7 linked regions of the Macaca fascicularis genome follow. The protein of the gene in region 5 interacts with the protein of the main gene of each other region in a pairwise test. Links are inferred from orthologs where the notes say so. Each region holds a gene or a part of one and is shown on either strand. Other genes may lie near its edges. The genes, in order: WDR62, EFHC2, LNX2, ARRB1, MAPK9, ARRB2 and SHMT1.

What was found.
Region 1: the proteins of MAPK9 (region 5) and WDR62 interact in binary tests that used the Homo sapiens proteins (3 or more experiments, as listed by UniProt). The two-hybrid records come from large-scale screens. The link is inferred for Macaca fascicularis from reciprocal best matches to the Homo sapiens genes MAPK9 and WDR62.
Region 2: the proteins of MAPK9 (region 5) and EFHC2 interact in binary tests that used the Homo sapiens proteins (3 or more experiments, as listed by UniProt). The two-hybrid records come from large-scale screens. The link is inferred for Macaca fascicularis from reciprocal best matches to the Homo sapiens genes MAPK9 and EFHC2.
Region 3: the proteins of MAPK9 (region 5) and LNX2 interact in binary tests that used the Homo sapiens proteins (3 or more experiments, as listed by UniProt). The link is inferred for Macaca fascicularis from reciprocal best matches to the Homo sapiens genes MAPK9 and LNX2.
Region 4: the proteins of MAPK9 (region 5) and ARRB1 interact in binary tests that used the Homo sapiens proteins (3 or more experiments, as listed by UniProt). The link is inferred for Macaca fascicularis from reciprocal best matches to the Homo sapiens genes MAPK9 and ARRB1.
Region 6: the proteins of MAPK9 (region 5) and ARRB2 interact in binary tests that used the Homo sapiens proteins (3 or more experiments, as listed by UniProt). The two-hybrid records come from large-scale screens. The link is inferred for Macaca fascicularis from reciprocal best matches to the Homo sapiens genes MAPK9 and ARRB2.
Region 7: the proteins of MAPK9 (region 5) and SHMT1 interact in binary tests that used the Homo sapiens proteins (3 or more experiments, as listed by UniProt). The two-hybrid records come from large-scale screens. The link is inferred for Macaca fascicularis from reciprocal best matches to the Homo sapiens genes MAPK9 and SHMT1.

What each region holds. Positions count from the first base shown.
Region 1 is NC_088393.1:43,309,509-43,313,463, forward strand, and holds part of WDR62 (WD repeat-containing protein 62), read left to right. Parts: intron 1-366; coding exon 367-549; intron 550-2,685; coding exon 2,686-2,846; intron 2,847-3,955. UniProt on the Homo sapiens protein: Required for cerebral cortical development. Plays a role in neuronal proliferation and migration.
Region 2 is NC_088395.1:44,208,939-44,213,630, reverse strand, and holds the end of EFHC2 (EF-hand domain-containing family member C2), read left to right. Parts: intron 1-3,577; coding exon 3,578-3,679; 3' UTR 3,680-3,813; downstream 3,814-4,692. UniProt on the Homo sapiens protein: Microtubule inner protein (MIP) part of the dynein-decorated doublet microtubules (DMTs) in cilia axoneme, which is required for motile cilia beating.
Region 3 is NC_088391.1:7,597,443-7,601,850, forward strand, and holds the start of LNX2 (ligand of Numb protein X 2), read right to left. Parts: upstream 3,158-4,408; 5' UTR 2,972-3,157; intron 1-2,971.
Region 4 is NC_088388.1:74,216,735-74,221,316, forward strand, and holds the start of ARRB1 (beta-arrestin-1), read right to left. Parts: upstream 3,033-4,582; 5' UTR 2,920-3,032; coding exon 2,900-2,919; intron 1-2,899. UniProt on the Homo sapiens protein: Functions in regulating agonist-mediated G-protein coupled receptor (GPCR) signaling by mediating both receptor desensitization and resensitization processes.
Region 5 is NC_088380.1:187,169,453-187,173,407, forward strand, and holds part of MAPK9 (mitogen-activated protein kinase 9), read right to left. Parts: intron 3,308-3,955; coding exon 3,178-3,307; intron 1-3,177. UniProt on the Homo sapiens protein: Serine/threonine-protein kinase involved in various processes such as cell proliferation, differentiation, migration, transformation and programmed cell death.
Region 6 is NC_088390.1:4,804,685-4,809,161, reverse strand, and holds the start of ARRB2 (beta-arrestin-2), read right to left. Parts: upstream 3,013-4,477; 5' UTR 2,990-3,012; coding exon 2,856-2,989; intron 1-2,855. UniProt on the Homo sapiens protein: Functions in regulating agonist-mediated G-protein coupled receptor (GPCR) signaling by mediating both receptor desensitization and resensitization processes.
Region 7 is NC_088390.1:18,474,949-18,478,903, forward strand, and holds part of SHMT1 (serine hydroxymethyltransferase, cytosolic), read right to left. Parts: intron 2,290-3,955; coding exon 2,174-2,289; intron 1,495-2,173; coding exon 1,334-1,494; intron 1-1,333. UniProt on the Homo sapiens protein: Interconversion of serine and glycine.

The sequences.
Region 1 (3,955 bases), on a different chromosome or scaffold from region 5:
GTCACCATCTGTGGCAGCATGGCCTCCTGTTTCTCCCTGGGATTTGAGGGCAGCGGTCTCGGGCCATTTGACCTCTCAGGGGCCCAGCTGCTGCTTCTGGGCCTACTCTCAGGGGGCTGATGCACAGGCCCTGCCAGGAACCCCCTGACCCTGGGACCAGCTCTCATTCTTGGACTGCTGCTTCCAGCCCCCCTGTCCAGAGTGGCAGGGTTCTAGTGTTTTCTTTCCTTCTCCTCCATTTGGAAGAGCTTCTTGGAGTTCTCCTGTTTCGTTGTGTCCTATCATCTGGTCATGCAGGACCCATCGTGGCCCTGTTGGGGGCTCAGCTGTGTGGACAGTATCTCACTATGCCCTCTGTGTCTCCAGGTGACGAGCACAGTGCCCCTTGTAGGGCGCTCAGGCATCCTGGGCGAGCTACACAACAATATCTTCTGTGGTGTGGCCTGCGGTCGGGGCCGGATGGCAGGCAGTACCTTCTGTGTGTCCTACTCGGGCCTCCTCTGCCAATTCAATGAGAAGAGAGTGCTGGAGAAGTGGATCAACCTGAAGGTACCACCTCCCTCTCTGCCATCAGTTGGACAGGCTCTTTCTCATGATATGTGTCTGCAGGGGTGTTCATCAGTATTGACCACACAGGTTCTGCTTATGTGACTAATGGTGAATGACACCCCCTCTCTGAGCTTCAGGTTCCACATCTGTAAAATGGGAGTACTGCTGCCCTCCCCACAGAGCTGATAAAGAAGTCACGTGAGATAATATAGGCAGTGAGCACCGTGCTTGGTAACCTGAAATGGGCTCAAGGTGACAGTTTTTTTCCCATTACTATTTGATCTACTTCACATTTCTCTTCTCCTTTGAGCACTCTGGCTGGTAGAGGATTGCATTTTTAAAAACTCAGAGGTATCATTGATTTAATAACTTTTCAATCAAAAAAGACTACACAAAATGCATGAACTTTTATTTATTTTTAATTTTTTTTTTTTGAGATGGAGTCTTACTCTATTGCCCAGGCTGGAGTGCAGTGGTGTAGTCTCGGCTTACTGCAAGTTCCGCCTCCCAGGTTCAAGCGATTCTCCTGCCTCAGCCTCCCAAGTAGCTGGGATTACAGGCGCCTGCCACAACGCACAGCTAATTTTTGTATTTTTAGTAGAGACAGGGTTTTACCATGTTGACCAGGCTGGTCTCAAACTCCTGACCTTTAGTGATCCACCGGTATTGGCCTCCCACTGTGCCCTGCCATAAACTTTTAAACTAAAGCATGATCTATCGATACATTGCAGAGCTTCTTTCCTTTAGTATCTGAAAGTTTGTGTCCAAGCTATTTTCCCATCTGGAATCAGTTGCCCATTTGGCTATCAGCCAGAGCGTTGTGGTTTTCTCTCCTGTTCCTTGCTTGCCTTTGTAACTCACTCCAGAGATCACCTTTGAGGTTAATGGCATGTGAAAGAGTTCCAAGTTTTATATTTGTCCTAGTTGGTTAAACATCATTTTCTCTTTTTCAAGCAAGTGAAAAGCTTTCAATAGATAGATGTTTAGTTCCTAAACACTAAATGACTCATAAATTAAGTCCCTCTAGATTTGGAAAAACTCCTTAAACTGCATCTAGAGGTCTAGCACTTCCTAGTAGGATAGACAGTCCTTTCTAGATACTATAACTTTTTTCTTTTTTCTTTTTTTTTTTTTTGAGACGGAGTCTGGCTCTGTTGCCCAGGCTGGAGTGCAGTGGCCGGATCTCAGCTCACTGCAAGCTCCGCCTCCCGGGTTCACGCCATTCTCCGGCCTCAGCCTCCCGAGTAGCTGGGACTACAGGCGCCCGCCACCTCGCCCGGCTAGTTTTTTGTATTTCTTAGTAGAGACGGGGTTTCACCGTGTTAGCCAGGATGGTCTCGATCTCCTGACCTCGTGATCCACCTGTCTCGGCCTCCCAAAGTGCTGGGATTACAGGCTTGAGCCACCGCGCCCGGCCTTATAACTTTTTTCTGTACTGCTTTGGAGTATAGTCATTATGAAGTTGTTTGTAAGCAAAAGGGAATAAAATTTAAGCCTAAAGGCCAGGCGCAGTGGCTCATATCTGTAATCCCAGCACTTTGGGAGACCGAGGTGGGTGGATCACCTGAGGTCAGGAGTTCAAGACCAGCCTGACCGACATGGTGAAATCCCATCTCAAAATACAAAAAAATTAGCCGGATGTGGTGGCAGGCGCCTGTAATCCCAGCTACTCTGGAGGCTGAGGCAAGAGAATCGCTTGAACCCGGGAGGTGAAAGTTGCAGTGAGCCAAGATCGCACCATTGTACTCCAGCCTGGGCGACGACCAAAAAAAAAAACTCCATCTCAAAAAAAAAAAAATTTAAGCTTAACATTCAACCCTGTTACTACAAGTGACTTACCTGAAATTGCAGTCTGCTGAACAGGTATTCTTCATACATAGCTACGTTTCTCTGTGGACGGCAGTGACATCTCTGTCTCCGTTCATGTCTCTGTCTACCTGGGGACACATGTATTTCAATAGCAGCAGTATACTATACCTTGATTTCAGAAATCTTAAAATATGCTAAAATGGGTGTCTTAGACCCAAGGAACTATAAGTCTTCTCTGGAGGCCTAAGGCTGCTCTGTCAGTCCCCATGTCCCTGGGCCAGGCCACGTGAAGCACCAAATCCACTGGGGTCCCTTTTGCCCCTACAGGTCTCCCTGTCTTCCTGCCTCTGTGTCAGCCAGGAGCTCATCTTCTGTGGCTGCACAGATGGGATAGTCCGCATCTTCCAGGCCCACAGCCTGCACTACCTCGCCAACCTGCCCAAGCCACACTACCTTGGGGTAGATGTGGCACAGGGCCTGGAGCCCAGGTACTGCCCTGCAGGGAGAGGGAACGGAACGGGAGGGGCCCACCCAGAGTCTCGCCACTGGCATTCATCCATGCTTCCAGATCCATATATCTGTCCATCCCACAAATACTCATCATGACTCTCAGCCCTGGGCGTTACAAAGCAGAAAAGTCCTTGCCTTCCAAGGCAAGCTTCACAGTGAGAAGTGAGGCTGGGTAGGGGAAGAAACAGTCAGTGAGAAAACAAACGAATAAACAGTATCATCTCAGATAGCGGTCAGCATGGTGAAGAACAGTGCAGAGCAGCTGTGAATGTGGTGGAGTGTTTGCATCCACATGGCTGACCCCTACTAAGCAGCTGCTAAGTGCCAGCCCTGGGCTGGAAGCAGGATACACCTATAGTGAAGCAGCAAAATCTCTGCCTCTGTGCAGTGTAGCAGGGGGGCTCGATGATAAGCAAGTACACAAAGAAGGTAATTTCAGATAGGCATCAGTGCTTTGGGGAACACAGCAAGGACTCAGGAAGGAGAGTGCCGGGGTGGGCTGTGCTGATTGGGTGTCTGGTGAGAAGGAGCTGCTGTGTGGAGAGCTCGGTCCCAGCAACTGAGGTGACAGTACACTGGGCTTGTCATGTTGCAGGAATAGTGAGGGATTGTGTGGCCAGAGCCCAGTGTGCCCGGGGAGGATGGTGGGAGATGAGGCCAGTGTGGGGCGCCTGTAGTCTATCCTTAGGTCAGTGGGCAGTTGCTTGGGGGTTTCGGGCATTGGGGTAAATGACCAGGCCTTACATGTTAGGTCCCTCTGCTGCTGTGTCGAGAGTGGATGGAAGTGCTAGGCTGTGGCTTGTCTTCTCCTTTGTTGCAAGTCTGTTTTATGGAATCGGGGGCTACCTAACCAGGGGGTGCCGGGTGCCTAGGGCTGCCTCTTTGTGGATTTCTGGATACTAGCTCCTGGGTGCCTTTTCCATGACAGGACCTGAACAGGGGAACTGGGTGTCATGAAGGAAAGGAGGGAGTGAGCAACCCACAGGCAGTGTTGTGTTATAGTAGCTGGGCTCACAATTCTGCTGCCTTCTGTTGTGCTGTGTGACCTTGGGAAGGTGACTATACCTCCCTGTGCTTCCGTTTTCTC
Region 2 (4,692 bases), on a different chromosome or scaffold from region 5:
ACCCTGCACAAATCTGCAACTAGTTTATCATCATCATAAATCATCTCTTAAATTAAGGTTTTACACCTGAATCAGAAATGCTGGTACTTAGTTATTGTCTGATTCTATGACAGGGTTGTCAATTGTCATAGTTTTACATGTCACTCATATTCCAGTGACTTCTATATCTTTGCACAGTTCTGGATTCTAGCTCTGTGCTATATATAACCATATTTACAGATGTTTACCAGAATCTTCACCTTGATGTCCCATGGACACCTGAAAGAAAAAGTACCCACATTCTTAGCAAACTATCACAAGAACAGAAAACCAAACACCGCATGTTCTCACTCATAGGTGGGAACTGAACAATGAGATCACTTGGACTCGGGAAGGGGAACATCACACACCGGGGCCTATCATGGGGAGGGGGGAGGGGGGAGGGATTGCATTGGGAGTTATACCTGATGTAAATGACGAGTTGATGGGTGCTGACGAGTTGATGGGTGCAGCACAGCAACATGACACAAGTATACATATGTAACAAACCTGCACGTTATGCACATGTACCCTAGAACTTAAAATATAATAATAATAAAAAATAAATAAATAAATAAAAAAGAAAGAAAGAAAAAGTGCCCACAACTGAACTTAGAATTTCCCTCTGAGCCTTGTTTTCCTACTAAAAAATGTTTTAAAACTCTTCCTGCTTTCCTTATGATATTACACTGGGTTGAATATTGTCCCCTCCAAAAGTCATGTCTACCCCAAGCCTCAGAATGTGACCTTATTTGGATATAGTCTTTGCAGATAAAATTAATTAAAATGAAGTTATGCTGGATTAGAGTGGACCCTAAATGCAGTGACTGGTGACTTGATAAGAAAGCCGCATGAAGACATATTGGTATACACAGAGAACACCATGTGAAGTTGGAGGCAGACGCTGGAGTGATATGCCTACAAGCCAAGGCATGACTGCCAGCCACCACCAGAAGCCAGGAGGGAGGCATGGAATAAATTCTCCCTGAAAGCCTCCAGAAAGATCCAATGCTGCCAACACCTTGGTTTTGGACTTCTGGCCTTCTGAACTGTGAAAGAATAAGTTTCTGTTGCTTTAAGCCACTTCCTTTGTGGTACTTTGTAATGACAGCCCCAGGAAACTAATAACAGATACTGTCAACTATTATTAAATTTAGAGTTCTTAGAACTATCCTTACCTGTATTAGTTTCCTAGTGATGCCCTCACGAAGTACCACAGACTGAGTTGCTTAAAACAATAGAAATTTATTCTTCCACAGTTCTGGAGGCTAGCAGTCCAAAATCTAGGTGTCAGCAGGGCCACACTTTCTCTGAAACCTGTGTGGGAATCCTTCCCTGCCTCTTCCTAGACTCTGATGGTTTGCTGGCAGTCTTTGGTGTTCCTTGGTTTGCAGCTGCAAAACTCTAATCTCTGCCTCTGTGGTCACCTGGTGTTCCCCCTGTGTGTCTCTGTCTTTACCTGGCTGTCTTCTTATAGGGAGGCCAGTCATATTGAATTAGGGGCCCACCCTACTCCAGTATGATCTCATTTTCCTCATCTTAATTTACCTAATCACATCCACAAAAACCCTATTTCCAAACAAGGTCACATTCTGAGGTACTAGGGATTAGGACTTCACATACCTCTTTTGCGGGGGGGCGGGGACACAACTCAACCCATAGCACTACACCTTTCTTTTTTCACCATTTCAATTGATCCCCTTCTAGCTATTTTATGTTCTCCTGCAGCAGCATCTCTCAGAGGTAGCTCCTGTCCTCCATGCCCACTTCAGCTGCCCTGGTTATGGCACAGTCATCTTTCAGCGGTATTATTGCACTCACCTCCAGATTGCTTTTCTTACTTCATTTCATTCTCTGTACATCCAGCAAGTTAGCTAATCAGTTTCTAATCAGATTTCTGTCATTTCACTGGCCAAGACCTACAGTGACTTCCCGTAACCACAGCCTCAAGTAGAAACTAGCACAGAAGGCCAGAAGTTTGGCCCCAGCTTCTCCTTCTAACCATCTCTCTTGCCACTTTGCACCATGTGCCGCATACCACACTGGGCTACTCACCCTTTCTTGAAAATAGATTTTAGGTCTCCAGGCCTTTGCTTACACTGGTCCCTATGCCTGGAACACCCTTCACGACCCTAAACCCTCTGCTGAACTGTTTTTCATCCCATAAGGTGCAACTGAAACACCACTTACTCAGCTTGCTTCCAAAATTCCATTACATCAAATTATTGAGCCTTTACCTATGTTTCTGTGACACCTTGCGATTCTCGATACTAATGTAACACTAGTAAAGATATAGAACCTCTTATATACAACAATTAACCTTGACAGTCATATTTTAACCTTGACAGTAGAAATATAAGCAGGCATATATATGGACTTTGCCTCCTGTTGATATTAATTAACCATTGCAGCATATTCAAAAAGTTTGTGTGTGTGTGTGTATATACACACATATTTACATATTATATACAATGTGCATCTGTGTGTGTATATGTATACACACACACACACACACACACAAAGTGGCTTATCTGCAAGATCACACTGTGAGTGATCCAGTGTTCTTTTCATTGTTTACGGAAGAAACAGTAACCAAGCAGCCAGTATAGCTACCAGTTTGTATTTTAAAAATTGGGTTCTTTAGGCGGCAGTTCACGCCTGTAATTCCAGCACTTTGGGAGGCTGAGGTGGATGGATAACTTGAAGCCAGGAGTTTGAGACCAGACCAGTCCGGCCTATATGGCGAAACCCGTCTCTCCTAAAAATACAAAAATTAGCTGGGCGTGGTGGCATGTGCCTGTAATCCCAGCTACTCGGGAGGCTGAGGCATGAGAATCACTCGAACCTGGGAGTCAGAGGTTGCAGTGAGCAGAGATTGCGCCACTGTACTCCAGCCTGGGCAACAAAGTGAGACCCTGCCTTAAAACAAATAAAATAAAAATAAAAATTGGGTTCTTAAGAAAGTATAGGAGGATCTATCACTGTATTAATGCTGCATGACAACTCCTGAAATTTCAGTGGTTCACAAGAAGGCACATTTCTTTTTCTTTTCTATGGGCATGTAGGTCAGTGAAGCATGGCTGGATTCAGCTAAGCTTGGCTCTTAGTCTGCAAGTCCAGCCTGGTCTGATCCCCCTTGGTCATTCTAAAAACAACAGCATCCTGGGCCATGTTCTTTTCATGGTGATGGCAGAGGCACAGAAGGCCAAGCCAAATGATGCCAGCACACTAGAGCCTCTGTTCATGATATGTCTGCTAACAGTACATAGGTCAAAGCCAGTCATGTGGCCAACCACATATCAAAGGAACAGGAAAATATACTCTTCTTACTCCACGGGAGGTTCTGCAGAGTCATATGACAAAGAGTGTGGGCACGTAATTCTTATACAGGGAGGGAATGAAGAATCAAGAACAAGTATCCAGTCTACCACAAAGTCTTTATGAACCTGAAGTAGATGGTAGAAATTTTCCCTTTGAAAATAAACTTCGGTGTTGAATTTTCAAAACTGTACTTTGAAATGTGGTTCTAATCATATCCATTTTTGTTTTTTTTTTCTAGAGATGTGAAGATATCTGGCTTGGCATGCCATCACCTATTCCTGCGAAATACATTGACTACTTGACCCTTTTGAAGGATGTGTTTGGCTTAGAGGAGGAATAACCATGCCAGTTTTGGTCAATTCTCTTTGATTTACTTCTCTCATTTTGCCACATTTACTTTAGTAGATATAATTTCATTAAAAACAAAAAAGAAACAAGGTTTATATTAAATGGAAATCCACAAATCACAATTAATCCTATTTTGTCATGTTAGTTTTTCAGAACATCATGTTATATTTCTGCCGTACTGTTACTATTTAAAATGCCATCTTAAAACATGTTGAATATTTTTATTATATGTATATTTTATTAATACCAAAAAATCTTCTGATAATTTTTCATCCAACGTAATTTGATTCATTAGTATATGAACAGAAAATAACTTCTGAAGGTTATACATGACAATACAAAATCAAATTATATCACAGCAATAAGTTGTGATTCTATTAAATATTTTTGAAACCTTTTTGACACATTTATTACTTATATAGTTAAGTTTTGTAGCAACCCACCTCATCAAAATAATTCTTAAACCTCTCTAGAGTAAATATGTTTATTTTTTAAACTTAGTAAAGCTATGGGAAGAAAAAGAACCTCCCCAAAACACACACACACACACACACACACACACACACACAGGAAACATATGCAGTATTTATATTTGTAATGCCCTTTTTTCTATCTAAAGTCAGCTTGTTAGCTTAGGAATATATGCATGTGTATATAATTATAGTTTGACCAAAAATTTATTATGTCTAAAATATTTACAAATGTGAAAGCTGAAGATTTTGAGATTTTTTTTTTTTTTGGTTTGTTTTACACACACATCCCACCCGCCCCACCCTAGAGGTTTAAATATTCAGAAACTACAACATTTTTCCCCTGCATTTTTCTAGTTCTATTTTTATTTTTCTTCAGCAGAACTCTTGTCATGTAGTATACATTTGATTAAAACCCATAGCCATGTACCTCTGGGAATTCAGTGTAAGAAGTCTATCCCCGTCTATCCCATTGTTCAATGTGGGGTGCTATGTATCATAAATCCATTTGCCTGGTGTTCTGGGAGACAATGGA
Region 3 (4,408 bases), on a different chromosome or scaffold from region 5:
GCCCTGTAAGCAGGAGGGGAAGTTAAATAGTTCTTCATAATACAATTTAAAGATATTTGAATTTTGGGGTGGCAGTCAGAAAGGAAAGAAAGAAGAGGGGGAGAAGGCCGAAGAGCCAACCAGATTACAAGAGCCTGGAGTCCTTCTTTCTTTGATGGTGGCCAAAATGTATTTTAAGGACAGAAATGCCTAATATTCAATGTCAACACTTCTGACATTGCTCCACTGTGAACCCCTTCACCCTCCCCTTCCTCTAAATCGCCTATAAAGCTTACCACACCCATAAAGGCTTTCTGTGAACTCTTTTTTTTTCTTTTCTATTCTTTTCTAGCTCCTGTGAGACACAACTATCCAACAACTGCATCATGGATCTCTCAACCATCCATTTAGCACCTCCTTAGATTGGTCCAAAACTGAACTTATCTCCCCTTCCACACCTCTACCATCAATTGTTTTTAACTGCTTCTTCTCATATCCTCCAACATTCCACTAGCTCATTAACGTCATCATCTATGCACTTGGAATGTGCTAGGTACCCTGCCAAAGGCATTACATGTGTAATTTCTCAAACCCTATTGAACAGGTATGACAATCATTTCCCAAATATTAGGAAATCAAAGTTCTGTCAGGATAGTAATTCTAAGGGTAAGTAATAGAATTAGAATTTGACCCGTTTTAATTCCACAGCCAGCTTACCCAGTACATGTCAATCAATGCCTGAAATCAAACAACCCAGGATTCATCCTTCCCCTCCCTTAAGCCTATCTAGTCACTTACCTGGTCCAGCCTCCTAGTCATACGCGTTAAATGCCATGTCGTTTCTCCTTCCACTGCCAGCACACTAGCATTTACTAAGTCCTTACTATGTGGCAATCACTATTCTAAGTAATATACATGTTTTTTCAAGTTCTATCCCCCAAACTCTGAGATGAAAAACCTAAGGAACAAAGAGGTTTCAGTGTATGACAGAGCTTGATTCCACCCCAGGTAATCTGAATAGAGAATCCCTGAGCACTTAACCCCTCCATTATAACAGCCTCCAACTTAGTCTCAATACCGCCCATCTGGAAGCCCACCATCCTCCAGATGCTGCAGATATCTTTCTGGAACGCGAATGTTATCATGACATTCTCCTGCTTAAAATTAGCAGCTCAGTATCACTGACTGGATAAAGTCCAAATTTCTTAATCTGGTATACAAAATCCTTCATTTTTCTGTTCAAGTCAATTCAGTAAATATTTTAGTGACCAATGTAAGCAAGAAAAGGTGCCAAGTGCTCTGAAATGAATACCATACATGTCCCTGACTACTACTTCCACCTTGGACACTGGGTCCTTCGGCCAGACAAGCCCATATGCAAAGCTCATAATACAACAGCCCAAAGATACATGCATTTATTTTTAAGTGGCCTGCGTGCTCCGTGCCTACAATGTACGATATCCCAAATCAATCTGAAGGCTAGGTGCCTACGTAACACCTATTCTTACAGGTCTCCAGGCAGAAATGCTCCCTAAGTTCAAATTACTTCACGGTAACTAGCGGGATAAAAGCATGGATCAATTTCCAAATGAGAAAACTTCTGGGCAAGAACTAACCCCTGCCATCAATGGCTGGCATGCAGTAGGTACTTTATCAGTGGCTAAATGAATAAATAATGAAAAAATGTCAAAGCTGATGAGAAGACGAGAGAAACAAGATATATGGAGAATGTAACACACAAGTGGGCCGAATTAAAAGTAATGTTATTCTACTTTGGTTCTCATTTGGCCTACTTTTACCCCATGGGAAAACTCACATGTGGGACTTGGACAAGCTTAAAAAGCCAAAACTTTGTTATTCATGGCTCAACAAAGCTTTGACAAGCCAAAAAGGATACCAGATTCCCGCTTCCTTCTTTACCTGCCAAAGTCCATTTTCTAAAGAGGTGTGGGGGTGGGAATCAAATCTAGCAAAGTAAATAAAATTGATCTACTGAGATCCAACTTCATCAGTGCTGCATCGAAGTACATGCAAAAGAAATATCAAAATCTGTCCTGGGAAGAAGGCCAATTTACAAGTAAGTACTATTGCCGCAAGAATGTGAAATTCTTAAAGGCAGTTCCAATAAGCTGGAGCTCACAAGTGTTCCTCCTCCTGCACCGCCACCGCTCTTCACTCAACTTTGTTTCTGATTTCTGTGATTTTAAAAAGGATAATAAATACAGCAAAGTCCATGCATAAGTGTACTTTAGCTCCTGGCACAAACGAACGTCTGGATTCATAAACTCAACGTAAACTGAAATACTAGAAGAAACACTACATGAGTCAAAAGTCCTTGTTTAAAACGTGGCATAAAGCTTTGAAAAGCGAGTGATGTATTTCCTGAACGATGCTTTGTGTGCAACTGGTTCCAAATCAAGATTCGCATTTTTAAATTACCCACTGGAATATGTCAAATCTATCTCCCACCCTCTCCAGCCTAAAGAGAAAGGTGAGAATTCACAGGCAACAGGCTAGGGCGGAGGGAACGATCTCTCCCTATCCCTTTGCAGAGGAACAAAATCCGACAAAGGCAGCTAGTGCCACTCGCATTGCCGACACCACACACACACACACAGGAAATTTAAACACTCACCCCACCTCTCCCTTCCCTTAAGAAGCAAACGACGCCAAGATCTGCACCGCGGTGGCCGGAACCAGCAAATGCTAACAGCCGGAGGCCGCCCGCCTCCAGGGCTCCTACAGGCGGCGGGCACCGGGCGCCGACTCTCCCTCCCCGACCAGCCCCACACCGGAGTCCACGCCAGCCCCGCAGCCCGGGCGAGCAAAGACAGCCGCGGACGACCAAAGCTCCGGGGCGAGCAGCGGCGCCGCTCCGGCCGCCTCCCGGGGCGCGGCGCTCCTCCACACCCAGCCGACGCCCGCACCTGAGGCGGCTGCCCGCAGCCGGGGAGAGGGCGCGCAGCGAGGCGGGCAGGGCAAAGTTACTCACTGGGAAAGCGCGGCTGCCCGGGCCGCGCACGGCCACCAGCTCCCGCTCTCCGCGGCCCGCTGAGGGAGCGGAGAGCCTGCCCGGCTCCGCTCCGCCGAGAATTGCCGCCGCCGCCACCGCGGATTTCCTGGCAAGAAGCAAACTCCGGCCAAGACTTCACTTCTCAACCGCCCCTGCTGCCTTCCCGGGGGCCAGCGCTAAGGCCGAGCGGCCCAACCCGCAGCCGGGCCAATCGGAGGTAGCACAGGGCGGGAGGTGGGCGGACCAGAGGGCGGCTCCACCTATCCGAGAGCTCGGGAGGCGGGCCAGAATTGGCCCGTCACTCCTGGGTTAGAGTGAGACCACTCCGCCCTCGCCGCCCGCCTCCCCCACCCGCCCCGGGCTGTCCCCGCCGCCCGCCTGATTCCCCTGCGGAAGCCCCGGGGGCTAGGTGCCTGTGCGCACCCCGGGCCGCTGCCAGGAGTGGCACTGCTCGGGAAGGAGTGAACATCCAGAGGAATCGCGGGGCGGGGTGGGGGGAGGCTAGGAGAACAGGTGGCGCAGGGAAGCAGAAACGTAGTTGCGCAGGACAGCTGGACAGCTGGAGTGGGGCAGGGTCGGGGCCGGCGGCTAGGGGAGAAGGGCCTATTCGAGAGGAAGCGCACCTGAGGGAGCGCGGCCGGGGCCGGGACGTGGGAGCTGGGCGGAGAGCGAGTCTGGGTGGCGAAGGTTGCCGAGGCGGGGGCTGGGCACCTGGGAACAAAGGTGAGGGCGGGTTCCGCAGGTGAAGAGGTTTGAAGAGCCACAGCGGGTAAAGGGAAAGGAAGTCCACAGCCGGAGAGGACGCGCTCTGGGGGATAGAAGGAATCCTAGGACGGAAAGGATGAGGTGGGAAACAGTTTTTTCGCAAACTCTCACTCCCCCAAAAGAGAAAGACATTTCTTTCTTGCCCTTTATTTGACCCAGTTGAGAATGCAACTGCAAGGTCCCCGGTGAGACAAATACCGCCTTCAACCCTCGTATTCTGTCGTGACTCATCTTGCACGTGACCTCCTCCCTCTTCAAGGTGTGTTGACCGACTAGAGCCTAAGCCTGTCGTCCCACAGAAGGCCCAGGAGGCCGGGGTCCCAGGAAGGGCCATCCTGGGTCAACACCGCCCCAGTGGGGGAGTCGGGCCTCTTTCGCCCTTGCCACTGGGAAGGGAAGTGATTTGGGGGCGGCAGGTAAAGCCCCGCTCCTTCACCATCACCTGGGGAAAGGTACCAAGGTTGAGCTGGCGCGCCCGCAGGCCTGTCTGGGCCTCGGGGTAAAGCGGCGCTGGCCCCACCCCCTGCCCCCACCCCCTGCCCCTCCCGCCGTGAGTGGCCTCGCCTGGTCGCCCAGGTGAGCCGCCGGGCCGCGAGCCACCGCCCACCCCGCGTCGGGGCGGGGCCTGGGGGCGGAGCCTGATGCCCCGCC
Region 4 (4,582 bases), on a different chromosome or scaffold from region 5:
CACTTCAGCCTCCTGAGTAGTTAGGACTATAGGCATGTGCCACCACACTCAGCTAATTTTTGTATTTTTTGTAGAGATGGTATTTCACCATGTTACCCGGGCTGGTCTCAAACTCCTGAGCTCAAGCAACCTGCCCATCTCAGCCTTCCAAAGTGCTAGGATTGCAGGCGTGAGCCACCACGCACAGCCCTGTCCAGGTATTTAACACCACTTTCCCCCTTGAACCTGGGAATTCCTAGAAGGCAGTGACAGTTTCTGATAAATTTTCATTGTCACTTTCATATGGGGGTGCAATTCCAGATGGAGGGATGGATGCAATGATTCCTGATGTTCAGTTTTAGATATCTTCAGATTCCTCCTCTAAGTCATAGATAAAGTAGAATCTCATGGCTTACGGAAAAAGACAAGGTACAGCCCATTACCGATTTTGCCCTTCTTTTCCAAATTACTTAGCAAACTGTCTGGAAAGGGACAGAAAGCCCTCATGGGGCTGCAGGAGAGTCTGAGGGGGAGGTCAGGGCCACTATCAGGTGGATTTAGCTGGGCCTTGGCTCCAGGCTTCAGGCAGTGCCTCTTCCCCTGCCCAGTGAAGTCAGTAAGTACAAGGGAAGCCTTAAAATGTTAAGTATTGATAGCTCCAGTTTACAGATGGGAAACTAAGGTCCGGAAAAGTAAAGGCAATTGCCCAATGTCCCAACGGTCCAGCAGTGAGTTCAAGGCAGGGCAGGGGGAGTCATGGAAAATATCTTGGCCTCAGAGACAGGGTCTCCAACAGGTGCCTGGAAGCCCATGGTGTCCACATCTTCCTGACAATCATGTCAGCAGGACAGCAATGACACTTATCCCCCAAGTCACAGAGAGGTACAGAGAGACCCAAGAGAGGCTGAGTTACCCCAATCACAAGGCAGCCTAGGAAGGACAGGAGGAGTGGAGAATGGCTCCAACTCCCTGCTATACCCTGCAGGAAGAAAAGCCTGACCTCATGGGTCAAGATGGATGTGGCTGGGGAGGGAGTCACATACCTTCCTACTGAGGACAGAGGCCTAGGTCACAGTGCTGGCCAGCCAGCTGCAATGGGGACTAGCCATCAAGATGCATGCAGACACAGCATGATCTTCTGCTGTCTCCCCCAAAGCCTGGGCCTCCAGCACAGAGCAGGGCACCCCTCCCTGGCCCATGTGGGGCCTGGTAGTGCCCTAGGGCCATCCACAGAGACATGACCAAGTGGACTCCAGCCTCTGCCCTGCCTCTGGCCTCTTTTGACCTTAGGCAAATCACATGACCTCTCCAGCTCTCTGGTTCCTCTGCTAGAAAACAGGAAGAGGAAAATTAACCCCCTGGAAGAGCTGTCAGGAGGATGGCTGGAAAGTAATTTCTAAACATTAAGAGCCTAAGTTGCCTCTGAGCCTCAGTTTCCTCCTCTAGAAAATAGAAATAATCTCTGGAAGCCCTTTCTCACACTGTTGAGAGAGAGTCTCAGATGGCAGTACGTGAGAAATGGCTTTGTCAGTGGCCCTGAAAGGTGGTGCCCACTGGGGTGTGTCTCTCTAGTCTGTTAGCTCCTTCAGAGGAGTGGGCCTTGCGCATCTTTGATTACCCACACTATGCCTAGTATACAGCAAGAGCTTAATAATAAATGGAACCGAGGAGAGGAGAGGGGAGGAAAGGGAGGAGGCAGAAGTCAGGCACAAGAATAGGAGAGGAGAAAGACAGAAAACAATGAGAAAGAGGGGGAGCCCAGGAAGAGGCTGCTGTGCCCACTTGGGTGGGGAGGGCAACGGGGAAAATAGGGTGGCAATGCTGAGCCCTTGACCAGGGCTGGTCCTGTCTGAAGGGCTGGTCCTGTCTGAAGGGCTGCCCCCAGGGGCTGTCCTGCTCCAGCCCCCTCCTCCTTCTGTCCCACTTTCCCCTTTCAGAGGCATAGACCGTTTCTTTCTGAGTATTTCAGGCCAGGTTCTAGAACGGGAGGGGTTCTCCCAGCCCTAGGTTCAAAACAGCCCCTGGCCAGCCACTCCTCAGGAGGTCAGAGGGAAAGGGAACAGAGTAGATGGATGCGATCTATTCGGATGGGATGGGATCTGTTTTCCCCAGGCTGGGGGCAGTGGGGAGCGTTCTACCCCGTGTGATGTGTGTTTCCACTTCTGGCCATGTGGGGCCTGGAACGTGTGTGTCAGCGGGCCTCCGGCTAGCAGCTCGTGCCTGCGGGGTGCCAGTCTTTGCAAGCATTAGTCTGATTGTGTCTGTGGGGGTCAGTGTTGGTGTGGCCTTGCGCTCCACTGTGTTGGTGAGACATGCCAGCACAAGTGTGTGTGCTAGTGAGGGTGATGTGTGTACCAGCAAGAGTGTTTGCTACAGCGAGTGCAGGTGACAGTTTGCGTATCAGTGTATGCCCACACGTGTGTGCTAGCACGAGGGTGTGTTAGAATTGGTGTGTGTTGGAGTGTGAGCCGTTCATGCCAACAAGGCTGTAAGCAAGAATGTGTTGACCGAGGCGTGTATGACGGCGTGCCACTGTGTGTGATGAGCGTGTGCCAGTGGCTGCCAGTGTGTGCGCCAGCATGCCTGTGCCACGGGTTAGTGTGCCCGTGCGTGTATTGTGTGTCAACCTGCCCCCGCGCGTTTCTGCGGCTGCCGGCCAATGCTGGGTATCAGCAAGCTGTGAGTGTGTCCGGGCCAGGAGCCGCGGCCCACATGGGGCGGCCCGGCCCTCGCCCTTTGGGTCCCCCTCGCCCACGGCCCTGCCGGGGAGACCACGCAGGAGACCTCGGGTGGAGGAGGGCTGGTACTAGATCCCGGGATGGCCGCGAACACAGAACCAGGACGCAATCGGAGCCCCCGCCCGTGCCCTCGCCGAGGTCGCCCCCACACGCCCCACGCCGGGCGACCGCCCTGCACTCACCGGGTCCCTTTGTCGCCCATGGTCCGCGACGGCCGCAGGGAGGTCCGCGGCGTCAGCACCCAGGCTGGAAAATCCCCGGCCAGCAGGAGGAGCGCGGGCCAGCCCGCTCCCGGCTCCCTGCTCCGCCTTCTCCGCTCTCCCGGCCGCCGCCGCCACCGCCCCCGCCCCCGCCCCCGCCCCCGCCCCCGGTCCCCGCCCGCCTCCCGCCGCGCGGAGCAGCGCAGCGCCCGGGCCGCGGTCAGGGGCGTGGAACCGCGCGGGGTGTGTGTGTGTGTGCGCGCGCTCGTGCGTCTGCGTGTGCGCGCGCCGCCCAGCGAGCCGGGGCAGCGCTGCAGGACGCGTCAAGGCCCCAAGGTCGGCGTTTGTGGTGGGGGAGGGGTCCACCCGCGTGCGAGTCCGTATGAGTGAGTGTGTGTGTGTTTGTATGGTGGTGGTGGTGTGGTGTACGTGAGGGCGCACGGCTGTGTGCTGGCCCTATTGGGAGTGTATTGGTGTGGATGGAGGAGTGTGCACGTCTTTGTGCAGTTGTGCGTGTGTGCGCACGGCCGTGGGTGCGAGCGCGCTCTCCCGCGCATGCCGGGGCAGCCTTTGTGTGTGCGTGTGGTTGGAAGCCGAGGGTCTGGCGACCCCGAGGCCGCGCTCTCTGCGGCCGCTCGCCTAGCTGGAGACCCCGGGATGCCTGGCAAGGCCTTCGCCCTGTGCTCCACCCTTCCCCATTCCACCCCACCCCACCCCCTTCTACTGGAGAGATAACACCCAGTCACCCAACAGAGACAGGAAGAAGGGGTGGAGGGGGCAGTAGACGGCCTTGACACTGGGGAACTGAGCGGAGACCCGCGACCAGCAAGGGCTGCAGGAAGCCGCCCAGGAAAGGGAAGCTGCGAGAAGTGAGAAGAGGCGATAAAGGAAGAGGGCAGAGCTGGCCCGCTGATGTGACCGGGTAGCACCGTGGAAAGTGCCCATGCCTAGCTCCATGGCCTGCTGCGGGTGACCCTGTACACCAAGCTTCTGAGAACGCATGTCCGGACCTGTAAAGTGAGGATACACTAATATCAGCCTGCAGAATTAATAGGTTGAAAGAACTTGCTTGTTTGCTGGCCTCCCCAAGTGCCTGCATACAGTAGGTGCCCAGTAGATGTTAGCCCACTTCTCTGCAGGCTTCTTGATGTCCTGTGAAATCTTGGCTGGGACGCTGCTTTGTCTGAGGTGCCTTCCTGCTTTGCAGGTAGTGGGAAATTGTAAGGTCTTTCCCACACCCTCACTGCTGAGATTTGGCTAACTATCCCTGAAAGGTCTAAGTATTAAGGGAGGAAGCTATCATTTACTCTGATGCTGTTGTGAGTGTGTAAACATCTCCTGTAATCATGCTCAGAAGCAGTTACCTATACTGTTTATATGCAGTATCATTACTATAATTATGTCCAGATTTGGCAGAGGGGCAGGGGAAGGCTGATGGGTAGGCAGGGTGGCCCACCTCTGGGCAATGTTAGGAGCTAGAGAATATGGAGGAAGGCCCAGAACCCTCCTCCCAGTCTTGGCCTCTGGGCTTCACCCTCCACAGGGGAAGAAGAGGAAGCCACCTGTTGTTTCTGCAGGGCTCAGAGATCTGGAAAGGAGCAGACTAGAATCTTTTTGATGACAGGAGATCCCTAACCAGGATGGTGAGGCCAGGTCCTGCCACTC
Region 5 (3,955 bases):
CGCCTGATTGTAAGTTTCCTGAGGTCTCCCCAGCCATGTGCAACTGTGAGTTAATTAAACCTTTTCCTTTATAAGTTACACAGTCTCAGGTATTTCTTTACAGCAGTGCAGGAACGAACCAATACACCCCATGGTGTAAACAGCGAGTCCCACGGCTTAGGCACCAAACACATAACCTAAGTCATTCCAGATGACTGAGGGAAAGATGAATTATCCATTATATAGGATTGGGGTGATCGGTTAGCTAAGGACAAAAATAAAACTGCATCCATATTTCAATCTTTATACCAAGATAAACTCAAAATGGAACAAAGATTTAAATCTAAAACATGAAATAAAACATCAGAATATGATAAACATTTATATAATCCTGGTGTAGAAAAATCTTTTCTAAACCTGACAGGAAACCTAAGGGATCTGATTACATTAAAATGAAACAAAAAAACAGGCGATAAAAAATCAGTATGTCAACAACATAGTCAAATGGAAAAAAAGAAGTAAAGGGCAATAGTTTTAATATTAAAAAAAAAAAAAAAACCCTCCTTCAAATGCAGAAGAGACCAGCAGTCCAAAAGAAAAATGGATAAAGGCCATAAAAATTAAATTACCAAAACACATAAAAATAAATGACAACCTCACAAATAAAAATATCATTTATCTATCAAATTGGCAAAAGTAAAACAAAAAAAAATCAATGGTATGTAGTGCTGGGGGATTCTGAAGTAACAGACATTCTCAGATACTTTTTTTTTTTTTTTTGAGATGGAGTTTCACTCTTGTCGCCCAGGCTGGAGTGCAATGGTGTGATCTCGGCTCACTGCAACCTTCGCTTCCTGGGTTCAAGCGATTCTCCTGCCTCAGCCTCCCGATTAGCTGGGATTACAGGCACCCGCCACCATGCCCAGCTAAATTTTGTATTTTTAGTAGAGACAGGGTTTCACCACATTGGCCAAGCTGGTCTTAAACTCCTGACTCAGGTGATCCACCTGCCTTGGCCTCCCAGTGTTGGGATTACAGGCGTGCACCACAGCGCCCAGCTGACACTTTTTTTTTCAAGAGATGGGGTCTTGTTTTATTGCCCTGGTGTGCCTTGAACTCCTGGCTTCAAGCGACCCGCCTGCCTCAGCCCCATAAGTAGCTGGGATTACAGGTGGAAGGGACCATGCCCAGCTTCTCAGATACTCTTAATGAAAATATCAAACTAATAGTCTTCCTTGAGATCAATTTGTCAGTATATATTAAAGTAGAATATATATAAACCAGAAGTGTGTACTCTGACCCGGCAATGTTGGCCAAGAACTTCACCTGGACAAGTGTGCAAAAATTCAGGCGTAAGAATGTTCATTGCAACACTGCTTATAACAGTGAGAAACAAAACAATCTATCCAACAACAGGTGGTTGGCAGTCTCTTAAATTACTGTGCATCTGCGCTATTCAGTCATTTAAAAACTGGCTTATATCTATGTTAATTAAAGTACATGAGGTCAACCCACACTGCGTGAGGAGAAAAGCAGGATGAAGAATAACACGATTAATCTTGTTTATGTACTTGTGTACATGTATGTATAAGAATGCTCACCAAATTGTTAATGCTAGTACTCTGTGGGTGGTGGTAGTCAGGAGTTTTTACTTTTTTATATTGTTTGAATTTTTAAAAATAATATATATTTTTTGTAACCTGAAAATTTTTTTAAATAAACAAGTAAAATAAAGCATGCATTAGAGAAATTAAAACCAACTCAAGCCACAGACTCAAAAGAAGGAAGCTCAGGAGTTTAAGACTAGCCTAGGCAATGCGGTAAGACCCCAACTCTACAAAAAATTTAAAAAATTGTCAAGCATGGTGACACACGCCTATAGTCCCAGCTACTTGGGGGGCTGAGGTGGGAGAATCACAGCCTTGGTGACAGAATGAGATCCTGTCTAAAAAATCAACACAAAACAAATAAAAAAACTCCTTCCAGATTTAACATTATTTATTTATTTATTTATTTATTTATTTATTTTGAGATGGAGTCTCGCTCTGTCGCCCAAGCTGGAGTGCAGTGGTGCGATCTCTGCTCACTGCAAGCTCCTCCTCCCGGGTTCACACCATTCTCCACCTCAGCCTCTCGAGTAGCTGGACTACAGGCGCCCACCACCACGCCTGGCTAATTTTTTGTATTTTTAGTAGAGACAGGGTTTCACCGTGTTAGTCAGGATGGTCTCGATCTCCTGATTGTGGTGATCCACCCGCCTTGTCCTCCCAAAGTGCTGGGATTACAGGCGTGAGCCACCGCGCCCTGCCAACATTTTATAATTTTATAACTTGGCAAGGTTATCAACGTAATGCTCAGCAGCGACCACTAGGAGAACATACAATGTGCCTGATTGAGCACAACTTCATTTTCTAGAAACATTATTTCTCCATAAAATTTAGTGCTTTGATTTCTGTGGCGCTTCCAAGAATAGCTACTCTAAATGTGACATCATCTAATAAGTGTATTTGAAACTGAGATGTCATATACAAGGTAAAAAATTACTTATAGAACAACATCTTTCCACAAAATATTTAGTTGTTTCTCAATTTGTTGGATCAATACTGTTCCTATTTTACAGAAACAGTATCAACTGATATTCCTACTCTGGTTGAGTGACCTAAATTCCTATGAACCATAATGATGCCTCTTTTCAGCTTTAATTTCCTCAATGTTTATTAAGAATTTTATCAATAAAAAATAGGCCGGGCACAGCGGCTCACACCTGTAATCCCAGCACTTTGGGAGGCCAAGGCAGGTGGATCAAGAGGCCAGGAGATCGAGACCATCCTGGCTAACACGGTGAAACCCCGTCTCTACTGAAAATACAAAAAACTAGCCGGGCGTGGTGGCGGCGCCTGTAGTCCCAGCTACTCGGGAGGCTGAGGTGGAGAATGGCGTGAACCCGGGAGGCGGAGCTTGCAGTGAGCCGAGATCACGCCACTGACCTCCAGCCTGGGTGACGCAGCGAGATCCCATCTCAAAAAATAAATAAATAAATAAATAAATAAATAAAATAAAATAAAATAACAATGTTAATAGTCACTTTTATCCTTAGCTTATCCTAGATCTGAACTCAATGTATCTCCAGAAGACCCTGAAGATTCTCACATTATTGACAACATGGAAGCACACAGACAAAATACACACATAACTTACATTTTTATGATTGACACATTTTAAGAGGACGAGTTCACGATAAGCTCTCTTTGCATGAGTTTGGTTCTGAAAAGGACGGCTTAGTTTCTTGACTGCAACATTTATCCCAAGAACTGTATCAAATGCAGCACTAGAATTAGGAAATATAATGCACAATCCATTAGAACCGTTTTGGAAAACACAGCAATGCCAGAATATACATTGAATATATTATCTTTTTAATAAGTAACAAGGAAAAATCTGCTTATTTCCATTCAAGGTACCACACATATGAAGAGCACAGTGAGCTGGCTAAGACTACAGCATGGACTAACCCCTTTGCAGAGACATATTTCAGCGACAGTTAAGACGGGGTTCAGCAATCCTTCACGTACCGTTTTCACAGTTTAGACTACATTCAAAACCAGGTAATTTAACATAGAGTGCATAAAACCAGTCAAGAAATGAAATCTTCAGTTTAAACATGACAAGAAGTTGGAAACAAAGTCACTGTTATCCCATCTTAAAATGTGTATATTTTGGAATATCACAGTAGAGGAAATGGTTGAGTTGATGAGAAGAATACAATAAATCTAAAGTTTGAGTCATTGTGTTTTTTTCTTAGACAACAGTATCTAATAAGAAAAGAAGCCAAAATTTCAGCTCATGGTAAATGCCCAAGATACAAAATCTCTAACGTAAGCAACTGCTATATAAAGTTCTTTTAGAAATATCTCCTCCTACTACTATGGTAAGAATAAAATTTAAAGGCTGTGTTTCCAGATCTCAAGTTTCCTGT
Region 6 (4,477 bases), on a different chromosome or scaffold from region 5:
GCTGGAGTGCAGTGGCACGCTGTCAGCTCACTGCAACCTCCACCTCCTGGGTTCCAGCGATTCTCATGCCTCAGCCTCCTGAGTAGGTGGGATTAGAGGTGCCTGCCATCATGTCTGGATAATTTTTTATTTTTTTGAGATGGAGTCTTGCTCTGTTGCCCAGGCTGGAGTGCAGTGGCGCAATTTTGGCTCACTGCAACCTCTGCCTCCCAGGTTCATGCCATTCTCCTGCCTCAGCCTCCCAAGTAGCTAGGACTACAGGTGCCCACCACCACGCCCGGCTAATTTTTTGTATTTTTAGTAGAGACGGGGTTTCACTGTGTTAGCCAGGACGGTCTTCATCTCCTGACCTCGTGATCCGCCAGTCTTGGCCTCCCAAAGTGCTGGGATTACAGGTGTGAGCCACTGCGCCTGGCTGCTAATTTTTATATTTTTAGTATAGATGGGGTTTCCCTATGTTGGCCAGGCTGATCTCGAACTCCTGACCTCAAGTGATCCGCCCGCCTCAGCCTCCCAAAGGGCTGGGATTACGGGCTTGAGCCACGGCGTCTGGCCTGTATTTTGTAGTTTTTTAGTAGAGACAAGGTTTCCCCAAGTTGGCCAGGCTGATCTCCAACTCCTGACCTCAGGTGATGCACCCGCCTCAGCCTCCCAAAGTGCTGGGATTACAGGCGTGAGCCACCACGCCCGGCCTTAGGTTGCAGTGAGCCAAGATTGCGTCACTGCACTCCAGCCTGGGTGACAGAGCAAGACTCCATTTCAAATAAATAAATAAATAAAAAATAAAATAAAATAAAACTACCCAGTGATGGAGGTCCTAATGTCTCTATTTTCCAGGTGAGGAAACTGAGGCAGAGAGAGGTTAAGTGTTTTAAGGTCACAGAGAGAGTAAATGGTGGGAATTAATAGAAACCAAGGCGGTCTGGCTCCGAGTCCATCCTCTCAATCAATATTACACTATCCGTCTCTGTAGCTGGCATCAATAGTTTGTTCAATTGAAGGGTATTCGCTTTCCAGTTGCTGAAACAATTTAAGCCTGGACTCCACCCACTGCTGGGAGGGTAAGGAAGTGTTTGGCAATCCCAGTGATCTGGCCAATTGTGAGCCTATTCTTTGAAGCATCACCTTACTCCTTCCAATCCACTCTGCCTCAGCAGTGATCCCTGGAAAGGATCCTCAGATAGACAGCAGAACGTGAAATCCTGCCAACTAGCCCATCCCTCCTCCAACTCTACCACCCCATTCCCAGAGGACCCCAATGGGCAGGTTGCCGCAGTATCTGGGTAAGACTTAACCATCTTTCCATCTGGTCTACAGCTCTGACAGCTGGAGCATATAGGAGAGCAATGACTCTGGCCTTTGGCCCTAAATGGTTTCTACCATAGGCCCAGTTTCTGCTACAACTTCACTTGTCCCTTCTTCCCAGAAAGCCAAGCTGTCCAAAGATTATAAGGTAAAGGGTATGGAGGCTCCCAGGTATTCCTAACCAATAAAAGAGAATAAACATCGATACGGTGGCAGCTAGAATAAACATCCTATCTTTTGTCCCAACTTGGGGGCTGAGTGCTGTGGCATCATCCAGGCTCTCCCTCCCCTTTGCTTCTGGTTTTCCTCTTTGTCCCAGGGTGTCCTCCCATTAGGAGCCCTGGCACAGGGCTGTGACAGCCACAGTCAGTGGGCCAACTGCAGTGTGGCTCTGGGGCAACTGCCCTGGAGCAGCTGCAAGGCACCTGCCCTTTGGATCCTAACCCAGCCACCTCCTGCCAGGCTGAGGAGGAGCAGCGTGCAGATACTAGGCTGGCCAAGGAGGCAGAGTGTGGGGATGACCAGGGAGGTGCCCAATGGGGGCAGGGGTAGCTGAAGCAGATGTCCTTTCACACTTCCTGCTATTCTCTCCATTTCCTGTGGCCCAGAATTTGATGGAGGTGAGGGAAATTGGGTCAAGTCAGCAGTCCCCTTTGGTCCATCTGTCCCACTCCTTGAACCACATAACGGAAATCAGGGGCCTCCCACAAGGCAGCAACTTCCCCTTTCTCTGGGATGTTTAAACCCTAATCCAGGACACCGATCATCTCTCTGATGATCTCTTTCTGATACTCATCTACTTGACGCTCAGAAACCTGGGTTCTCCTACTCTATAGGTTGGAAGTGGGGTCGATATGATGCTTTGCAGAGCAAGCCAGAGCTCAGGACCAATTCCCTATTCCCGATCCCCTCTGGGTTGAGGCCTACAGCCCCAACCTTTCTGTCTTTTGCTCCTGCTCCCCTGGGACTCAGGCATTCACCCCTTACCCCTTGGGGGTGTTGAGTCACAACAGGAAGTGGATTTTGCTAGAGACCAAAAAAGAGAACTCGGGGTATCAGTGGAAGGAAAGAGCCTCGATTGCACAGAAAACATCCGGGGAGTGGACGCGCGCCCAGCGTGAATACTGCCTCCCCCACCCCCAGGGAGAGGGATCCGATCTAGTTTCAGGAAGGGTCAGGCTCTCCCAAGATGAAGCTGTTGTTGCTCCTGGCAACCCAGGGGAAGGTAGAAGTTTGGATGAGGAGCCACCCGGCCCTCGGGACAGGTGTGGGCAGCGCGACTACCTGGGGGATATTGGACAGGAGGCTTTGCATTGGCTTGGCACGAGTCTGGAGGGGATCCCCCTCCCAGCATCCAGCCTCCCCGTACACGACCCCTCGGGGCCAGCCACCTGCTCCTCCCTCCGTCCCTGCATCGCAGCCTGCCCAGACTCCTGGGCACGGGAGAGCCCAGTAGTCTGGCCCCACATCCCTGAGAGAACCCCGACACCGGTTTTTCTGATCCCCCTCCGGCCTCGCTTTCTGCAGGGGCCCGGGCATTTCCCCCCAACCTCATTATCCTCGAGGACCTGCGCGTGCGGCCCCGGATGGCTGTCCCTAGGGACCCAGGCGTCCGGCCCCCAGATCCTCTCCGCGGCGTCCTCGTCTGGGACCGTCCCAGCCCCCGCCCCGAGCCGCCGCCCATGCCCCGCCGCGTGGCCCCACCTCCCTTACCTGGTCCCGGGTTTCTCCCCCATGGTGCGCGCGCCCGCCGCCCGCTCGGTTCGCGGCTCGCTCGCAGCCTCCTCGCCCGCTGCCAAGATCCCTGCTCCTCCCCGCGCCAATGCGCACGCGCGCCCTCCGCGCTCTCGCCTCTTCCCCCTCCCTCCCGGCCCGGCTCTGGTCTGGGGGAACCGGGGCCAGATGCGTCAGCCGGATCGCGCGCGCCGCGGCGCTGCCCGCCCTCTCCTAGCAGACACACAGGGCCATTGGCTCCGCCCCCAACCCTTCGCGTTCCGTCCCAGCCGGGGAGCCCTCCCCCGCGCGCGGGGCCCGCTCCCGCTCTTCCCGCCCATCTCCCCGCCCCGCCGCAACCCCTTGAAACCGATTGGGCCCCCCTAAACCAAGGCTCCCGCCTTCCAGGGGATCTAAGTCTTTCGATTGGCCCTCGGCATCCAGAACCTTTAGGGGTCTCCTCCCCTTTGTTTGCTTTCTCAGTGGCGGTGGGGGCGACCGGGCTGTTGGGGGCGGTGGAATGAGCTGAAGCGCCGTCTGGGAAGGAGGATGGTGGGGGGGAACACGTGGGTGAGCAGTTCAATTGCGTGATACTTGCTTCAGTGCGCGCAGCTCACCTGCTCCACGCGGAGCGTACCGCCTTCTGTGGCCAGCCCTCCCGCTTCTTCACCGCAGCGTGTCAGCTCCTCCTGGTGTCTACATTTGATTTTCGCAGGGTTCCCTTTTCCAATGTCTCTGACTCTCCATCTCCTTCACCCACCCATCCCAGCTAACATCCACTCACTCACTCGCTCGCACCCATCGGTCCATCTATCGACCCACCCATCCGTGCCTATTTTATGCTATTTACTATGCCAATCGATGGGGACACATATGAATTACCATGGCCCCTGACTTCCTAGAATAGTTGAGGAGACACATACACAGGTATTACCCAGGAATGCTATTACAGAGGTCTGAGTCAGAAGACACAGCCACTAACAGCGCTCGGCCCGGGCGGGGGTGGAGCGGAGAACATATGAGGACAGTCTTTCTGAAGGATGTGCAGAAGTTTTTTTTCGTTTTCTTTTTTTTGAGATAGAGTCTCGCTCTGTTGCCCCGGCTGGAGTGCAGTGGCGCGATCTCGGCTCACTGCAACCTCCGCCTCCCAGGTTCAAGCACTTCTCTGCTCAGCCTCCCGAGTAGCTGGGATTACAGGCGCCTGCCACAATGCCTAGCTACTTTTCATATTTTTAATAGAGACAAGGTTTCATCACGTTGGCCTTGCTGGTCTCAAATGCCTGACCTCGTGTTCCACCCGCCTCAGCCTCCCAAAGTGTTGGGATTACAGGCGTGAGCCACCGTGCCGGGCCGGGCAGAAGTTAAGACAGGGCATTCCAAAGAGAAAGACAAGGCACATCCTGTTGTGTGGTGTTGGTGGGGAAGCCTGGAACAGGTTGTGGAGGATTTTGTATAGCAG
Region 7 (3,955 bases), on a different chromosome or scaffold from region 5:
TTCCTGGACGCTAGAAAGAATCACCAACACTGGACACTAAAAGAATAAGCAAGTTACCTCTTCTCCCCATGATCCTTTATCTTTATAGATAAATCACCATGCCTGAATGAGCCCACGCATCTTACATGCATTTTTCGACCCAAGTGTTTATACAGACAGGGTCTCATGCTAAACAAGTATTTGCCTGGGGCCCTGCACACCCTAGAGGCAGCCCTTGGCACTGGTTCTGAGGGTGCTGGTTCCACTGCTGGGCTGGCTGTGTTATCAGGTATTTGCAGTGGGGTGGCAATGGCAATGGGGTGTACACCTGAACAGTACAGGTGCTCCGCAACTTATGGGGTTACATTCCAATAAACTCATCATTAAGCTGAAAATATCATAAAGTCATACCTCAACTTATGGGGTTACATTCCAATAAACTCATCATTAAGCTGAAAATATCATAAAGTCATACCTCAACTTATGGGGTTACATTCCAATAAACTCATCATTTAGCTGAAAATATCATAAAGTCAAAAATGCATGTGATACACCTAACCTATCCAACGTCACAATCTAGCCTGGCCTACCTTAAACATGCTGAGAACACTGTGGTACCCTACACCGGGCAAGAGAGTCAAACACAAAGCTTATTTTATAATACGGTGTTGACTATCTCATGTAATCTACTGAATACTGTATTGACAGTGAAAAGCAGAACGGATGTATGGGAGCTTGAAATATATCTATTGAATGCATGTCACTTTTGCACTATCCTAAGGTTGAACGTCCTAAGTCAAACCACTGTCTGTTCCTCTGTAGCCGCTATACACAGGCAGGGGCTGGCCCTAACATGGCCATGGAGGACTGTTGCTGTGGATGGCACAGGGCTGCTGGTTTTGGTGCTGGAGCCGAGGATGCTGCCATCCCTGCAGCTACTGCATCCTTATGCTGCTGCTGGCCCACAGGGGCTCTGAGCAGAGATGTCACCAGGCGAGGGCAGAGCTGTGGAGGTGGTGGCTGTTGCTGGGGTCCAACTGTAGTGACCTGGTTGCTATTCCCCAGGGTTGTTATTCCCAGCAGTTACCACTGCCCCTGCCACACCTGAACTCTCCTCAGTAGTTGCCTCCCTCACTGGTTTCCCTATGGCCTCAGCTCAGACCCTCGTCTCTCCATCCCAGCTGCCCCAGCGGGTCCTGAAAGCCTGAGGAGTCCCCACGGCAGGGAAATGAAAAATGGTGCAAGGTGGGGACTTCCTATAGTGACACATAAACCAAACTTATCCCTACAGGCAGAGCCAAACATCAGAGGTTTCCCAAGGAAATAAAAGCTATGGAGAGAAACACATGCTTACCTTATAGGGCATAGATTCAAAGAAGATGGACGTGGCAGAGATTTTCTTCTTGTCTGTCATGAACCCATGGGTCAGGTGGCCCCCATCTGGCAGGTCCAGGCCCATGATGCGCCCATGGGGTTCCACCAGGGCAGTGTACACAGCGAAGTTTGCAGGGGAGCCTGAAACAAGTGGACCAAAGGAGACACGATTATTTCTGACCGAGGTACCAAGTGGCATCCGGGACCTTGGCCACTAAGCCTTCACCCAGGAGTGGCAAGAACAGGCCTCGTGCCTTCCCTGAGCTCCAGGAGGTGCCCCTTCACCATCAGCCTTGAAAGAGGAAGTTCAGAGAAAGGGCACTGCCTGGGAGGGGGTACAGAGCTGGGAGCCCAAGGGCAATACAGAGAGATGCATGGCTTATCTTTTATTTATGGCAGTCCTTCTTTTTTTTTTTTTTGTTTTTGAGATGGAGTTTCACTCTTGTTGCCCAGGCTGGCGTGCAATGGCGCGATCTTGGCTTAGCGCAACCTCTACCTCCCAGGTTCAAGCAATTCTCTTGCCTCAGCCTCTGAGTAGCTGGGATTACAGGCATGCACCACTACACCCAGCTAATTTTTGTATTTTCAGTAGAGACCAGGTTTCTCCATGTTGGTCAGGTGGTCTTGAAGTCCCGGCCTCAGGTGACCTGCCTGCCTCTGCCTCCCAAAGTGCTGGGATTACAGGCATGAGCCAACCGCGCCCGGCCTATGGCAGTCCTTCTTAGGATGCAAGTCCTTCTTAGGATGCTTCTTGGTGCATGTCAGCCCTGGGGGATGCACATGATGAGGCTGCACCAGGCCATGTGGATGAGACAATCACCTGAGTAGGGCTGGACGTTGACCCCCCAGCACTGTGGGTCCAGCTTATAGGCCTGCAGGGCTCGCTTCTGACAGAGGGTCTCCAGTTCATCAATAAACTCAGTCCCGCCATAGTATCTGTGGGAGGAGAGTAGGAGACTTAGATCCAATCAGACCCAGAAAATCTGTGCTTCACAGAGGCCAAAGAAGCTCGGGGTGGGACAGTGAAACTAAAGTGCAGAGAAGTAACGAACGAGAAGAGCTTGTTAACATGCAGATGCTGAAGCCAGCATGATCAAGTGTTCCACCAATGCCTCTGGAATCTAGAGTCAAGAGACCAAACCAGCTGTGCAACTTGGAGCAAGTATCTCATCTATAAAAAGGGGGGGTTTTGGCCGGGAGAGGTGGCACATGCCTATAATCCCAGCACTTTGAGGGGCCAAGGAAGGATTGCTCGAGCCCAGGAGTTTGAGACCAGCCGGGACAATATAGCAATACCCCCATCTCTACAAAAAATTTCAAAAATTAGCCAGGTGTGGTGGTGTGTGCCCACAGTCCCAGCTACGTGGGAGGCTGAGGAGGGAAGATTCACTTGGGCCCAGGAGGTAAAGGCTGCAGTGAGCTGTGATCACACCACTGGACTCCAGCCTGGGCAACAGAGTGAGACCCTGTTCCAAAAAAAAAAAAAAAAAAAGGAAGAAAAAAAAGGAAAGAAATCCTGTCACATGCTATTAATACAACAGGGATGAGTCTGAGAACATTATGCTAAGTGAAACAAACCAGTCACCAAAAGACAAGCACTGTATGATTCAACTTTTATGAGGTCCCTAAAGTAGTTAAGCTCATAGAGGCAGAAAATAGAATGGTGGCTGCCAGAGATGGGGGAACAAGGACTAGAGAGTTTGTTTTTGTTTTTGACGTTTTGCATTTCTAATGAAATTTTACTTTCAATTTAATAACTGCATATCAAAATTTATCATATATTTATGTTTTTATTATCTATTATTTATTATATTGATAACTCAAGTACTAAAAATTACTGGGTTCAAGCCAGTAATTTTTTTTTTTTTTTTTTTGAGACAGAGTCTCGCTCTGTTGCCCAGGCTGGAGTGCAGTGGCGCGATCTCGGCTCACTGCAAGCTCCGCCTCCCGGGTTCACGCCATTCTCCTGCCTCAGCCTCCTGAGTAGCTGGGACTGCAGGTGTCCACCACCATGCCCGGCTAATTTTTGTATTTTCAGTAGAGACAGGGTTTCTCCATGTTGGCCAGGCTGGTCTTGAACTCCCGACCTCAGGTTATCTGCCCGCCTCCTCCTCCCAAAGTGCTGGGATTACAGGCGTGAGCCACTGCACACGGCCTAACCAATAATTTTTAGCTTTTAGACCCTGTGATCACAAAAAGCTTTCTTTTAAAAAAATAAAAAATAAAAAAATAAGAGACAGGGTCTTGTTTTATCACCCAGGCAGGAGTGCAGTGGTGAAATCATAGCTTACTGCAGCCTAGAACTCCTAGGCTCAAGCAATCTTCCCCTGCCTCAGGCTCCTGAGGAGTTGGGGCTACAAGCCCATGTGTACCACACCCAACTAATTTTTTACTTTTTTGCAGAGAAAGGGTCTCCTTATGTTGCCAAAGCTGGTCTCAAACTCCTGGTCTCAAGTGATCTTCCCATCTCAGGCTCTCAAAATGTTAGGATTACAGGTGTGAGCCCTTGTGGGCTGTCACAAAAAGCTTAAAAATTAAAATATAAATGTATTTCTTTTTGTTTTTAAAAAAAATGTAACATAGGGCCGGGCGCGGTGGCTCA